Linked DNA regions of Oryctolagus cuniculus. The protein of the gene in region 2 binds, or shares a complex with, the protein of the main gene of each other region. Links are inferred from orthologs where the notes say so. Each region holds a gene or a part of one and is shown on either strand. Other genes may lie near its edges.

The links. The genes of interacting proteins can lie anywhere in the genome.
Region 1: the proteins of NRXN1 (region 2) and LRRTM2 are in contact, whole or in part, in a crystal structure (PDB 5Z8Y), measured with the Homo sapiens proteins. The link is inferred for Oryctolagus cuniculus from reciprocal best matches to the Homo sapiens genes NRXN1 and LRRTM2. Residues at the interface, in NP_001317021.1 of Homo sapiens: Leu139, Val158, Thr160, Arg236, Gln237, Leu238, Thr239, Ile240, Asn242; in NP_056379.1 of Homo sapiens: Asp343, His344, Gln346, Gly347, Glu348, Leu351, Asp352, Ala353, Gly356, Phe357.

What each region holds. Positions count from the first base shown.
Region 1 is NC_091437.1:26,630,311-26,637,930, forward strand, and holds LRRTM2 (leucine-rich repeat transmembrane neuronal protein 2), read right to left. Parts: upstream 4,955-7,620; 5' UTR 4,821-4,954; coding exon 4,817-4,820; intron 4,489-4,816; coding exon 2,942-4,488; 3' UTR 2,386-2,941; downstream 1-2,385. UniProt on the Homo sapiens protein: Involved in the development and maintenance of excitatory synapses in the vertebrate nervous system. Regulates surface expression of AMPA receptors and instructs the development of functional glutamate release sites.
Region 2 is NC_091433.1:151,720,383-151,727,518, reverse strand, and holds part of NRXN1 (neurexin-1), read right to left. Parts: exon of another isoform or gene 7,084-7,136; intron 4,405-7,083; 5' UTR 3,557-4,404; coding exon 2,785-3,556; intron 1-2,784.

The DNA of each region.
Region 1 (7,620 bases), on a different chromosome or scaffold from region 2:
GAGAGATTTATTATGTCTCTGGTTGTTGGTGGCCATTTTCCCTTAACCTTGAAAGTGAAAAGGAGGGGGTGGTGGTGCTGGTGCAGGGGATTCCCCTCCCCCACCCCCTCAGCCCCGCCCCAGGTCAAAAGTGACCATGCTGTGTTCCCAGGATCTGCAGTGTTGCTGCGATGCTGCTCCACCCTAGCCAGGTGGCAGAGAACACAGATGACTGAGGCCAGAGCACAAATAGGCAAGAATTAAGTGGAATCCTTCCTTCTACAGACTCTTAGAAAAGGAAGTTTGTGCTTTAAGTGAGAAAGGGAACTACTGGTTTGGCACTGTCATTCACTTCTCAGAGGGCATTACAGGAAAAATGGCGGGTAAAAAACCAGTTATTATTCAACTGGAATGTATGCCATGGTGGCGTTGGCTGTGCTGTTCCTCTGAATTACGAAATGGTTTGCTTTTCCACACACAATAAGAATTTTGCCAGCTGACGGCCATTTTACTAACTGTACCTTTGAGATTAATGTGGGGATTCCCAGCCAATATTCCCTTACCTTTTGACTTAGTTTGAATTAATTTTGGTTGTGGTTTGAAATGATGGAAAAACCTCTTCCACTTATCCTTCAGTGTTAATAGAATCTTGAGTGCTCAGGATAGAGTTTTATTGTGACTAAGCTGTCTGTCACCTGACAAATGGCTGTGGTCACCCTGATAAATGGGTTGGTCAATTTCAGTTCGTGGAGCTCTCCTTTGTAGTAGGGGCTTCTGATCCAGCCCCTCTGTGGGGAGCTCACACACTGCATACCATGCCATAAAATCAGTTTCTGTCTGTACCCAGGCAAACTCAGGCCCTGGCTTAAGAAGAAACAAAATGCTTGGTGGTGAGGATCCTCTGAATTAAACTGAACTGAGATTTTGCCAAACTCATCTACCCACCCTGAAAAAGCCTAGAGTATATTTTTGCCATAATTCGTGATGTTGTCTGCTTTTTACTGAGGCACGTTTTCTTTGAAATGTAGGTACCCTTCTCAGAATTGAAGAAGAAAAATTACGGTTAAATCTTATGGGTTAAACTCTAATCTTAACGTGTTTTCAGTTCAATCCTGAGAGGAAAGTATTCCTTGAATGAAAAAAACCTCATTAATGTTGATGATAAGGAAAAGATTTAAAAAAATGTTAATGGTGGTGATTTCCTCTAAAGATGCATGCCTTTTTCACATACAGTAAGTGACAGTTGCAAAATGCTTATTTTTCTGAAATCAAATTAGTGCTCCAATTTTTAGTTTTTCACATACAAGAGACCTTGTTTATGGAAAAATTCTATGTGAATTGGTAACTTACAACTAAATGCCAGATATTTCAGTTTTCCCATAGAAATCATAATTGAAAGAAATGGAATACTCATGGTTCTTTTCTGTATGAAAAATGTAGAATCATTATCATTTGTTAATCCTGGAGTGTTTATATTTATGCTGGGGAACCTCCTCCCTCTTCCCTTGTCAGTGGTGGGACCTGGGGCCTTGCGTGTGGTACGGATTGTGTGTGTGTGTGTGTGTGTGTGTGTAATCACTCTTGGCTGCATGCTGACTTTGGCTAACCCGGCTGTCGAATTTCAAAATCTCCTTTCCTCTTCAGCTTCTCATCTCTGTGCTGCCTTTGAGTTGCCGCTGTGTGGCTGCATAGGCATGTTGAGTGTTCTCCTGTAAGATTCACCCGGTAATATGTTCCCTTCATTTAGAAGGAACCACACTGAAAATGTGAATGTGTGTCTTTGTTAAAAGGCCAAAATTTGGCATATATTTATAAAATGATTTTTAAAAATGGTCTCTTTATAGTCTAAGAATTCATTGTTATGCCTGTTGCTAGCCAATTATTTTTAATTTGGCTTTTTGAGGTTTGAAGATCAGGAAACAGCAGAAGGAAGAGGTTTAAACCTCTTTGTCAAGGCGTCTTTGATCGTGACAGTTGAGAGACGAGAGAAAGTGTGTGTGTGTGTGTGTGTGTGTGTGTACTTTAAAACAAGAGAGCATGTCAGGGTTCTTAAAATGACTCAGTTTATCTTTTTTTCTGTCCAAAATAACTTCTGAATCTTTCCTTCCACATCTAAATGTAAATACAGGATTTAGTAAGTTAATTAGTAAAATGGTAATTAAATACTTTAAAACAATTGTCTAAATGGCACAAAAATCAACATGTCCATTACAAGTCGGAGTGGGGATGTATGATAAAAAGTCGGTGTAATTATTTAGTATTCATTTCACTGTAATGAGACTTTTTTACAGTCACTTGGATTGTTTAAATATATTAAAGAGACACTCTGCTTATTAGAATTACATAAAGGGTGCTGATAAGCATGATATAGACTTTGATAATAGCTACTAACCCAGGCAAAAACTCTTGAAGAAGAGTGTTTAATGTTTATCAGTCTTAGCATACATGAAATTCTACTTCCCACACTGGCAGTAGATTGTAGATTTGAGTAAATACCAAATTTAACATACAAGAGAACTTTGCTGTCTCCTTTGAAGCAGCAAGCCAGTTGTGGAGCGTGGGATGGAGAGCAGTGATCAAACAGGTATTGATCTGTATCTGTTTCTGCTCAATAGTTTCTTTCCAAACTGTTTTCAGTAGAAAAAAATAGCACATGGAGACCTTAGTGTAAATGTTTACACACAACAGTATATAATTACATACATGAAATGTCTTATTTTGAAGTAAGCATTTTTAGACTTTCCAACAGTTGTGCAAATTAACGTGAGCATTGCTTCATTTAACACTTAAAATATGATTTCATTTAAAAAATTAAAAATACTTCAACACTTCAAAAACTAAGTCTCCACTTGGTTGGAAAATTAGGCTTAATGTCATCATTGGTAAAAATTAGGCATGTATGCAGCCCCTACTATGCAACAGAGGTGACTTATCTGCTGGGCGTTCTGGTGCCGGGTAGGTGTTAGACTTCACATTCTTTGTATGGCAGCTGCTGACACTTGCACTGTCCGTAACCATTAATGATGATGAAGGGTCCTTCATGGGTGGGTTCATACTCATTATACGGTCCTTGGTCTGACATGTTTGACATATGGAGTCGTGTTTGGGATCGGAGCTGCCTGTGGTTCTGAATCATTGAGCACTGCCTAATTCTTCTTAAAGTGGGAGGGCAGCACTTCCTGGAGATGAACACTATAAAAATAATAAAAAAGAAAGAAAACAATAAAGCCATTGTTCCTGTAATTACCCGCTGAGTGAAGATGGCATTGTCTGGTTCAGGAAAGTGTTCCTCGGTAGTAACTGCTATGCCTGCAGTAGTTGGGATTTCTTTGTCTCCCACATGGTAACTTGAGGAGCTTATTCTTCTTGTATATTCAGTGGTTGGATCTCTGTAAGTTGTAGCCATGGCAGTGACAGTGGTTGATAAATTCCAGCAGAGCTGAAACCCATGGACTGCATCTAAGATATCCTCTCCTTGGGTGTGGTCAGGGCTGTGGCATAGGATGGAATGTTCCCACCGACCTTGGAAACTGCCCAGCCAGGAGGCCAGAGCGCATATTCGGGGGCTGCATTCCCACAGATTGCCAGAGAGGCCAACGGTGGTGAGGGACTTGAGGGAGTTTAAGATCTTGGAATCAAGGCTGTTTAACTTGTTGTTATCCATGAGGAGTATTTTAAGATTAGGCATTGTTTCAAACACTGTCAAGTCAATGGCTTTGATTTCATTTCCAGTCAGGTCCAGCTTTTCTAAAGTGCCCCAGGTCCACTCCATCCCACACGTCAAGTTGCTGATTTTGTTCCACTGTAAGAAGAGCGTGTGCAGACTGCTTAGCCGCAGGAAATGAGCAAAATTAATCTTGGTCAGCTGGTTGTGCTCCAGGTGAAGCTCTCGCAGTTTGATTAATCCTGCAAATCCATTGCGGGCCAAACTTCGCAAACGGTTTGTGCTCAAATCCAGAAACTCGAGACTACGACAGTCCCAGAACAGGCGTACTGGGATAGTCCGCAGGGAGTTGGAACGTAAATGCAAAGTCTGCAACTTCCGAAGGCCATAGAAGAGCTCTGGGTGCAGAGATGACAGCTGATTAAAAGACAGGTCCAAATTTTGCAGGTTAATCAGTTGGGTAAAAGTTGTGTTTGGCAAGTAAAATATTTTGTTGGAACTTAAGATTAATTCTTTAAGTTTATATAGTCCTTGAAAAGCATCTTCTTTTACTGTTGAAATTTGATTGTGGTCTAAGTGGAGCCAGGTAAGTTGACTGAAGCTGGCAAATTGATCTCTTTCGAGCTCTGTGATGTGATTGTGCCTCAGGGACAGGCCCAGGGAGCCCTTGTCTGTGGCGTTTGGCACTGAGTGGAAGCCCTGAGAGTCGCAGTAGAAGAGCAGCTTCTCGCAGCGGCATTTGGGTGGACACGCCATACCCAGGGCAGGCAGCATTTTTAAAATCATACTCATTGCATATATTGCTGCCAGCATAGGGGCCCCTAATGGCCACTTGAAATATAAGCCTGCAGAATATAGTTCAAGAAAAACAAGAAGAGAGGATATCTTTCAGCAGAACGTATGGACTATTAAAACAACAACAACACAACATTATGGTGAAAGATTTCACTGCGTATAACTCATTTTTCATTTACTGCAGAAAAATGATCCTTGTTTGTATGACTGGAACAAAACTTAAACCATTTTAGAATAAGACAGCAATATATGCTTTTATCTAGATTGCAAAATCTCAAAATGTGACAGTGATTTCCTTTATAAAATGTGAATGCAATGGCTTATTTTAAAATGTGATTCCTTGTTGACTGTACAGGACATAGAAATGCACAGACTTACCCATTCTTCTGAGCACATTGGAGGCTGCATTCAGTCGAGGTTGTTAGACTCAACGCAGTGAGTCTGTAAAAGGCTCTACCATGCAGGAGCCTTTGACCAGTGTCCTGTTTTCTGTGTCCCAGGCTTTCTTAGTAAAATTGATCCATCGGTGAGTTGTTTTCTTCCTTAGGATATTCCTCTGGAAAGCATTGGTTTCGTTTTCTCTGACCGCTCTGATCCCCTAAATCAGTTTTGAATGTAAGTTATTAATTTCTTCCTCCTGTGACTGCTCAGTTGGTTAATCAAAGCTTCGGTCTCCCCTTTCCGCAGCCGTTAGTTCTCCCGTCTTAACTTGTTGATGGCAGATGGGCGGCTTGTTGCAGAGAAGAGCTCCTGGAGCAGCATGAGTGCATTTACTGAAAAGCTTTTCCGAGAAACGGCACAAGAATGGATTTGCTTATGTGCTGCGACCACACAGAACTGTATATAGGCTGACGTCACCGGGTGACGTGTCTTTTGTTTGGGTTTTCCAGAAGCTTTACTGTTATAAAGCACTGTGCTTTGTAACAGTATCAGGGTCGTTGCAAGACCCCTGATTACAAAAAAGGGAGAAAGAAGAGCTGCTGACTTAAAAACATGGTATTCCTTCAGTGTAGGAAGCAGCAGTGAGGTTGTAATAAAGGCTGCATTCAAGAAGACCCGTCTGAACAGTGAGTTGGGTAGCAGAGTGATGATTTTTAATGCGTGTGAGAGCCAGTGTTAGACCGCCGATTCTGCATAGAGAGATCATCTAAACGGGCAGAAGCCTGTGCAATTTATGAAGTGCTGATTTAACGCCAGCCTGTGCAAGATAGTGCTGCTGTTCTGGTAGTTTGGAAAGCTGCTCAATTGCCTTGCTGTCATGCTTGGTTAAAATCAAAGTATGACTGTGATTTGCTGTAGATGTGTTGGTAAACTAGCTAAGTGGGCTTGGCTTCTTTGTCATTAAGAGCTTAACATCATAAACCAAGAATAAAGGGGAGAGAGAAAGCTTGCAAAAGAAAAGCATTTTTTTTTCTGTTGAGAATTTCAGGGGAATTCTAATTAAATCTGTCCTATTCTATGACAAGGTTTTATCACCATGCTGATTGAAAAATAATGGTTGTTGATCATTGGATGTTCTGTTAGGAGAAAGGGGCTATAGTCATTTTAATGCACGCGCTCTGCGATTTATCAGCGGAGCAGAGATGATTCAGGACAAGTGGTGCAGCATGGCTGGATTCTGACACAGTCTCACTTGTGTTTACCTCCGACTCCCATCTCTTCCATCACTGAAAGCCTCAGCTGGCGGTGTTGGGGAAGGAGGGCGCTGGGGGAGGGCTGCAGTCACAGAGCACTTGCTCACTGGTTCCTGCTGGCCCACCTAAGAACTGACCTTGGGCTCTCTAACACCTTTTTGTTGGAATCTCTTGTAAATGAAAAGGTCTTATTAGTCCTTTGGAATAGGATTTGTGTGTTGGTTTGTTGTTTCGCTTGACCTGTCTGTAGCTTCTGTGTCCAATAGCGACATGACTTTTCAGACCTCTGTTAGGAATGTGCAGTTCCATGTTTAGTGTTACGTAAACACCAGAGGTTTTTCTGTGTGAATCAGTGTTGCATTTTACACATCTCGTGTTGCTACTTTGACCCTACACATCTGTTTCTCCCATCCCATTGGCACTTAGCCTTGGTAGATCTTGAATTGGACCTGAAGGCAGAACCCTCAAAAATTACCCATGGTGTCTGTGATTTGAGACCGGCGGTTGTCTGTTGGCTTCCGAAGGCTTCATCCCACTGGATGACTTTAAAAAATGTGGTGTTAAGGGGTGAACCTTTTGTGTTGGAGTGGAAAGGTGGAATGAGAACGGGCAGACCCTGAGGTCCCTCCTGTAGGGCCCTGTGGAAGTTGTGGCACTGCAGGTGTGTAGCTTGAGTCCTCCTAGAAGGGACCCCATCATGGGATTAGAAGTTCAAGAACTTTAATTGGGGGGAAATACCTGGAAAACACAGAGGGAAAGAGAAGGCAAAACAGGAATCCTCTGAGAACCTTATTACTGTGAAGCAGATCAGGCCCTCGTGCAGGGGGAGAAGGGAAGCTTCGGCAGGCGGTCTCAGAGTGCCTACAGTTCTCAGTGCTGCCAGAGTTGCTGTGCGTGGGGTCCTGCAGCTTTACTGGTGAGCCTGCGCTACTACTCCTGTCATGTTCCTCCTCTATAGTTAAGGAACAGAGGAGGAGAGAGACCCCAAGGATGCTGCTCCCCACTGATTTTGATCCTTTCTATAGTGCCATAGGGTGGAAGTTCTTAACCTGGGTCCATACCATAGACTGGCTTGGGAAATTTTTTTGCTTGCTCTTTTTTTTCTGTGGATAAGGTTTACTCAGATTCCCTGGGTTTCAGAAACACTGTTCTACAGGAACTTGATCCCAAAAGTTCCGAAGAGAGCAATCTCATGGAAGTAGCCTCTCAATTTTTCTTTAACCTTTTTTAATGAAAAGAAGACCTTGAGATGTTGTAAATGCTCTTACTGAAGTCAGCTGCCCTCTGATGAGGAAAGCCTTTGCCATGTAGGAGAAGTGGGTGGAGGAAAGCATTTGAATCTGTTGGATGATAGCAGCTACAGTTAGGAGTGTATTATACGAGAAAATTCAGGACAAGCATCTGGTCCCTCTTAGACTCTTGTTTCTTTTCTGCTTTCTAGTCTACTTGGCCTACCTGGTATATACGAATAAATAGGAGCTACTTCAGTTATTGCCTCAGCTCTCTTAGGGGCGAGGAAAATCGCTCAGAGAAGTGCGAATGCAGTTG
Region 2 (7,136 bases):
AGTTAATAAAGAAATTGTTGTTAGGAACAGGGATAATTTGAACTCACATTTAAGATTTACTTGTCTACATTTTCCCCTAAATTCTCTCTGCTAAATTTGGAATTGAGGAATTATTTATTTTGAAACTATTTTTTATAAAGAATGCAGCAATTAGTATAAATACTGACAGGAGGCAGGGCTTTGTTTATACTTCATCTGAACAGAAATCATCTTTCCCTAACCATCAATACATGATCGGTGCTGGGAGAGGCATTCATTCTCAATTAATTATTCAATAGCCACTTGACACACATGAAACAGGGAAAATAAGCAAAATGGAGCCAATCCTTCTGGGAAGACCGAGTCTGCCTTTCCCACTCCATCTTCCATTTCTCAGAGCATCGGAAGAATCCACCCTTTTGTTTCCCTTCCATGATTAGTGATTTTTGCACTCTGTTTTCAAGTTAAATTTTCTAAATGAATCAATGCTCCAGAGTGATCCTGATGGATTTGCTTTTCTGGGTCAAATTTTCTTATATATGAGGTATTACACTGTTCAATTAGGTACCACTGTAATTACAAATTCCTCCTTTTATAGCAAGAGATTCATTTATCAAAATAAAATGTTTCACATACATTTAATTCTGTTCCTCTTTAATATGTTTCTTTTTAGATGCTTTCTCTTAACTATTCCTGATTATGCATGGTCCCTGGATCCCTACATTAAAAATGCACAGAAAAATAAAAATTTTCATTTAAAATACCCTCCCACACAGTACAAGCTGCCACTGTGTCATATTTGTTTCCTAATTTAAGAAAGGGAGTTAGATATTGTGTGTCCTTCTTTAAATTGCCTCCTCTGTCTTGGAATGTGGCATTAGGATACTTCAGACATTTTTTCCCCTAAAATGATTTTTATTCATTTATCTTAAATGTATGCAACTGCAAGTTTTTGCTCTAGAAATCATCATATCTGGCTATCCTTGTCACGATTTACAATTAAGTTAGATTTGGTAGGAAAAAAAGGATTCTGTTTTATTTTTGTAAAACGTAAATATGAATTCTGGTCTTACATCCATGGGAACATACTGGTAAAACTGAAGTGCTGTGCTGGCCAAATATTCAGTCTTCTATAATTACTTAAAACTAAAATATAAAGAAAACAAAAACCTACACGAAAGTAAAATGCAAAAAAATAACTCTTAACTTTTTCCCCCCTCTGATCCAATGAAGGCTACTGAGCTCTCCTAAAGATCAGTTTTTTCCTAACTAACTCCCTTTGCTGCTTAAACAATTGCAAATTTCATCAAGTCTTCATTTCTCTGAAAATCAAGTGAGAATCAAGTGAGAGAGAACTGCCAAGTCTAATAAGATTTACAAAGGCTAGTTCTCCCTAGCAGTGTCAACAACAACAACAACAACAAAAAGAAAAAAGAAAGAAAGAAAGGACAAGAAAAAAAGAAAGGAAACTCAAGGCTCAAGGCATTACACCATAAAGCACAGTCACACATTGAGCTTCTCTCCCTGTGGCTTTTTAGCAATTCACACACCTCCCCATTTCAGCCACAAATGCCATTCATCCATAGGTAGATTGCCATGATGTGACCCATTTGCTATTTTATTTAAACCCTGACACCTTCTCTCTTGCTTAGCCACTGATACAAACATGTTTCAAGTTTTTCTCATCACTCTCTATTTAAAGGTTTTCCCAAATTTATTCAACAATGCTTTCCTTGATCATTGTCTTGTAACAACATGGGAGAAAAACACTGAGACCTGAACTTTAATTGTACAGGGGATGTAGCAAACTTCGGGATGATTTCTGTTGTTTAGTTCCACACTGTTTCAAGCCCAAGAACCCGGAAATTGCAACTCGGCCTTCACTACTCAGATCAATACCATCAGCTGAATATTCTTAGAAAATCTCCTGCAATCCCTCTCATGCATCCCATTTGTTAACCTGCAGAACTTTCCCAATTCAGCAACATCTAATTCTATTTCTCTTCCAACACACTGGGTAATTGAGAAGCCTGTTATTTCATCACTAAGCTCTCAGAAAACATTAGCTGACCTCTCAGAATTCAAGAAACCGCAGAAATCACAAAATTTTACTTAAATTTGACACATGTTGGACATAACCATGGAAACCAACACTAAGTCCAGAAAACATCCTCTTGTTAATGAAGAAATCTTCACAGCCCCTCCTGCCTTGTATTCACAACCAAAAGCAAGTGTCTCAGCCCTGTTTGCAAAAGCCACAGCAAGTGCCTGTGAACCCGTGTTTTTCTCTCTCTCTCTCTAACAGGAGTAACCACGTGGGAATTCTCAACTAAGGCCCAGGTGAACCTCGCCTGCACTTCATTTTCCACCAAGTTCATACCCAGTCTCATAGACGCCTGTCTGCCCTTATGGGCAAAGTCTCCGGGGGTACGGATTTAAAGGTACTAGAGGGAAGTCTACTGGCCATTTAGGTGGGCAACGGGCCAAGAAAGACTGAGCCCATCGCTCCTAAGAACCCCAGGAATGACAAGAGGCCATTCTGCTGGCCTCTGGGAGGGAAGCAGGCTTGCAAGAAAGGGCTCCCAGTCGAAAAGGCTGCTCCACTACCGTGAGGGCGCCAAGCAAGGAGCGGTGGTAAGTGGTGAGTCCAAGGGGCCGTAGAACCAGGCCTGCACCTCCGGGGCAGCAGCCCCCACGCGCTGTCCGGAGAAGGAAGGCCCCATGCACTGGCCTGGCCCGGCCCGCCCCGCCGCCCCGCGCCCTGCCCCGGCCGAGGGCCCCCGTGCGGCGGGCGTCGGGCCTTACCTTGGCTGCAGTCCTTGCCGCGGAAGCCGGTCCGCGAGCAGTCGCACACCGCCTGGTCGTCCACCACGGAGCACACGCCTCCGTTGAGGCACACGCCGCCCTCGCCCTCCTCGCCCGCCTCGCACGGGCTCCCGCCGCCGCTGCTGGGCGGCTCGTCGTCCAGCTTCACCTCGCCGCTGTCCACGGGCAGGGCCTGTGAGGAGTTGACCCTGACGTCACGGATCCACCCTTTAAACGGCTCCCGCTCTCTCACCGAGGCCAGCGTGAGCTTGAGCGCGGCCGCACGCAGTTCCGGGGGCAGCCCCCCGACGAAGAGGCCGCTGAACACCGTCATGTCCCGGCGTTTGGACTTGACCTCCACCCACTTGGCCTCCACCTGGTCGATGTAGAGCGTGGTGTTGCGGAACTGGCGGCGTATGCGCACGCTGTGCCAGGCGCCGTCGTTGACCGGCGTGTCGGCCAGGAGCGTGGCGGGCTCGGCGCAGAAGATGGAGAAGCTGAGCTGCAGGCGGCCACCGCGCGTCAGGATGAGCTCGAGGAAGTCGCAGAAGCCCTCGTCGTCGAAGTACAGCACGAGGCCGCGGGCGCTGCGCGTCTTGAGCTGGAAGCTCATCTCGCTTTCGCAGCACGCGTTCCACTTGGGGAAGCGCGTCCACTGGCCCTCGGCGCCCGGAAACTCCAGGCCGCTGCCCAGCTCAGCCCAGCAGCCCAGCAGCAGCAGCGAGAGGCACAGCAGGAAGCAGCCCCCGCGCTGGAGAAGCGCCGTCCCCATGCTCGGGGCTGGGGTGCGGCGGGGGGGTGCCGGGGCCGACAGGGTCAAGGTGGTCCTGGACACCGTGGTGAAGAAATAGGGGTCCGCAGCAGAGGAAGAGCAGTCGCGGCGCGGGAGGAGGCACCCTCCTTTCTCTAGGTCTTGTCTTCTTCTTCCAGCAGCCCCTCCCTCTCTCCCAACAGCCCCCTTCCAACTGGACAGGGGTGACCCCAGTGGTCCAGGGCAGCCACAGAACTTCCAGACCAAAGGGAGGATACACTTTGGAGGCACCGTTCTGTTACAGGCGTCAACAGAAGACCAGGGACGTCACTGGTCCATCTGAGTCTGATGAACTAGTTTAAGGTCATCTGCCCTGCAGATACCTCACTTCTGAAACACCATCATCTGCCAGGCCCCACCACTGGTACCAGCAGAAGGGAAAAGCGTTAGAGGAAGTCGGGAGCAGACACTTTTCTCGGGGAATCTCAAGAATATCCTTGGATGTTCTGAATGCCTCCGGTATTTCTCCTCCAGATGGAATGTCTCAAACAACGGAGAGAGGGGTTCCTTGCCTCCGTGAGGACACCACTTGTTAACCCCAAAGGCCTGCAGCTTCTGTCATATCATGGACTTCCAGCACCACAGCAGCTGACACTGAAGTCTTGTGCATGGCCTCCCAGGCTGGATTTTACAGCTCTTAAACCTCCCCAGCAGTAGGACTCAGACCCAGAAGCTGTTAGATGTGCACATCACAACAGCTCCCCTTCTTTGTTCTCCGCCTCTGCAAGGCCAAGCTGAGATGCCAGCTATCAGTTGGTTGTGTGTTGATGATACATTTTGATATTGTCTTTTTAGAAGGACCCAGAAATCTGTGGAAAATTAAAATAAAAATAAAGTTTAAATCAATTACAGTATTATAAGGCAAGTATGAATGTATGCTATGAATAAGCTGTACTGTATAGAGCTTTTTTTCTTCTCTTGGCCTACAAATAAGGCTTAATGTTTGCTAGTCACACAAACAGCCATTACACCTTGTAGTTTATTGTAACTGTTAATAGGTAACCAGGTTTTAAATAGAGATTTAATTATGGCGATCTTTTATTTTTCCTTTTCCAAGAAAGTTTAATTTTCAAAATGTACAAGGAGAGAAAAAAAGGTCCTTTTAAGGATTTCTACCTGTATTGTGTGCTGGATACATAGACAGTAAAAATACAACCTATTCAAATCTCAGTTAATAGCAGGTTTTACAAAAGGCAAAGTAGATCAAACTGTCGGCAGGAGGCTGCCAGTTTAGATTTGTATAGCATTCCTACCATTTCATTTTTCTGAGAGGGAGCAGGAATATTGATGGTTTCCTGAGAGTCTCTTAGAATTTCAAATAAGTGCATTCTTCCTTCTTTATCAAAGGGATAATCTTTTATAAGAGAAATCTCCTAATTGGAGCTACTTTTTATTTGTTTATTTTGCGGGGAGGGGGCAGGGGTTAACATCTCAATTGCCATAATATTATTTTCTCTAAATCTGGGTAAACTATGTAATATTTTACCCATTAGTAAAATGATCTAACTCCCCTTAAAGTCCTTATCTTGATGTCAGGCCTTAGAATTTGTATGTCAGAACAGCAGTTGGCATGTATGTCACCTCAGCTGCTATGACTCTAGGATGCTAGAATTTAAAGCGATGCCATTGAATCACTCACTATACTAGTAAATTACTTCTCTTTATTCAACTCTAATCTGACAGGTTCTTGAAATGGTACAGAAATCATAAATATAGATTTTTTAACTAAAGTCACTCTTCTACCAGGAACAATTACACTCACATAAAGAAAAAAAAAAAAACTCAGTATTGTATCATCTGGTCATATTAAGCAACTGCATGTATTTCCTTCACCATTTCCCACTGTCTCCATCCCATGCAACATAGAGACACACATATATGCACTCCAAATGTATTGCCTGGACACAGAAGCTCACTATCCAATTAACACTTTTTTTTTCTCTACAAGCTGAAACTAGCAGTAATTTATGACGCCGCATTGTGCTGCTGCTCCTCCATGGAGGGAGCTAAGAGCATTTCTCTTCAGTACAGAGCAATCCCTACAGGTGTCAGCTGAGATCCACCAAGCTCGGGGATCCCACTTCAAGTTCCTCCCAGATGAAATTGATGACTGAGGCTGCCTTTCAGCACGCACACACAGACAAACACTGCCAATGAGCAGAAGAAATAAAAAATATGTTATTTATTATGGCTCATACACTCAACACCATCAGCAATCACCAGTCATATCGTGTCTACTCCTATGCCAAACCAAAGAAAGGTGCTCTTAAAAATCATTGAAAATAACATATTGTCCAATAGGCTTTCATTTTTAACTGTATTCAGATAACTGTTAAATTTTTAGTTATTTCCTAAATCAATCTTGAACATTATGATGAAGAGTATTGCTTTAAACCCCATCCTCTAGCTCATGTGTTGGAAAGCCTTTTTTCCTGTGTGTGTGTGTGAGAGAGAGAGAGAGGCTATTATTTTATTAATTTTACATAAATCATATAACCCTTTTCACCCTTCTCTCTTGTCCTCTTCCTCTACTAATGCATAGCTTGACAATTTTTAAGAGATGGAGGAGAAAGGAAAGGAAATATATATATATATATATATATCACAAGGGAGGTCAACTGGCTCTCCTAGTTCTTAGACAAGCTCATTGTGTGTGAGAGAGTATTTATATGGAGAAAAAGGATTCTCTCTGGGTGCCGGAAAGACCTGGTGAGTTCACAAATTAGAGGCTGAAATAAAAGGATTTGAAAAACAACCTTACTGCAGCCAAAGGAAGAAGCGCTCTAATTCAAAAGCAGACTAACAGCCTCATTAATCTGTTCTTTCATTTCTAGAATCAAATTCATTCCGAAGTCATTGGAAGGATCAATATAGTACACTCATCAGCTGCAGATGCATTTATTGTAATATGTTTATGGTATCACACACACACACACACACATACACTCATACCTGTCCATGCACCCTGCAATATATTTCCTCATAAAGAGCCTGAAAACCTCTGGGAGAAATTTTAGAAGTGTGTATCTTTTGTCCCTGGATTTTGCAAAGTGCCTCAGTACCAACGAACATCTAAAATTCTCCCTGGCTTTCCCGCCCAGTCACCAAGCTCCATCTCTGATACCAGTGCAGTTTCTTGGAGCCTGGCTTCTGCACAAATTAAGTGTGGGACTGATGAGAAAGGGAAAGAGAGATGTAGATCTATTTTATTGCTTTAATTTCCATCCTACCAGTTTCTTTCTTTTGCTAATAAATCACTGCATTCAGCCTTTAACTTACTACCCCAGCTCCACCATCTCATCTTCTTGTCATCATTTAAAAGCCTTCATGCAAAAACAACCAAGATCTACACTCCCCCACCCTCCCACTACCCATCCTTCTCCGTGTATTTGTGGCAGATCCTGGCTCAGTTACAACGAGGAAAGATAGCCTTCTTCAGCTTGCCTCGCCCCAACCCCTCCCCCCCAACCCAAATTGAGCTGCTTTACCTGCCCGGTTATTCCCCTTAGTTCGAGCCAGAGCCTGAAGCATGCATCGGTCA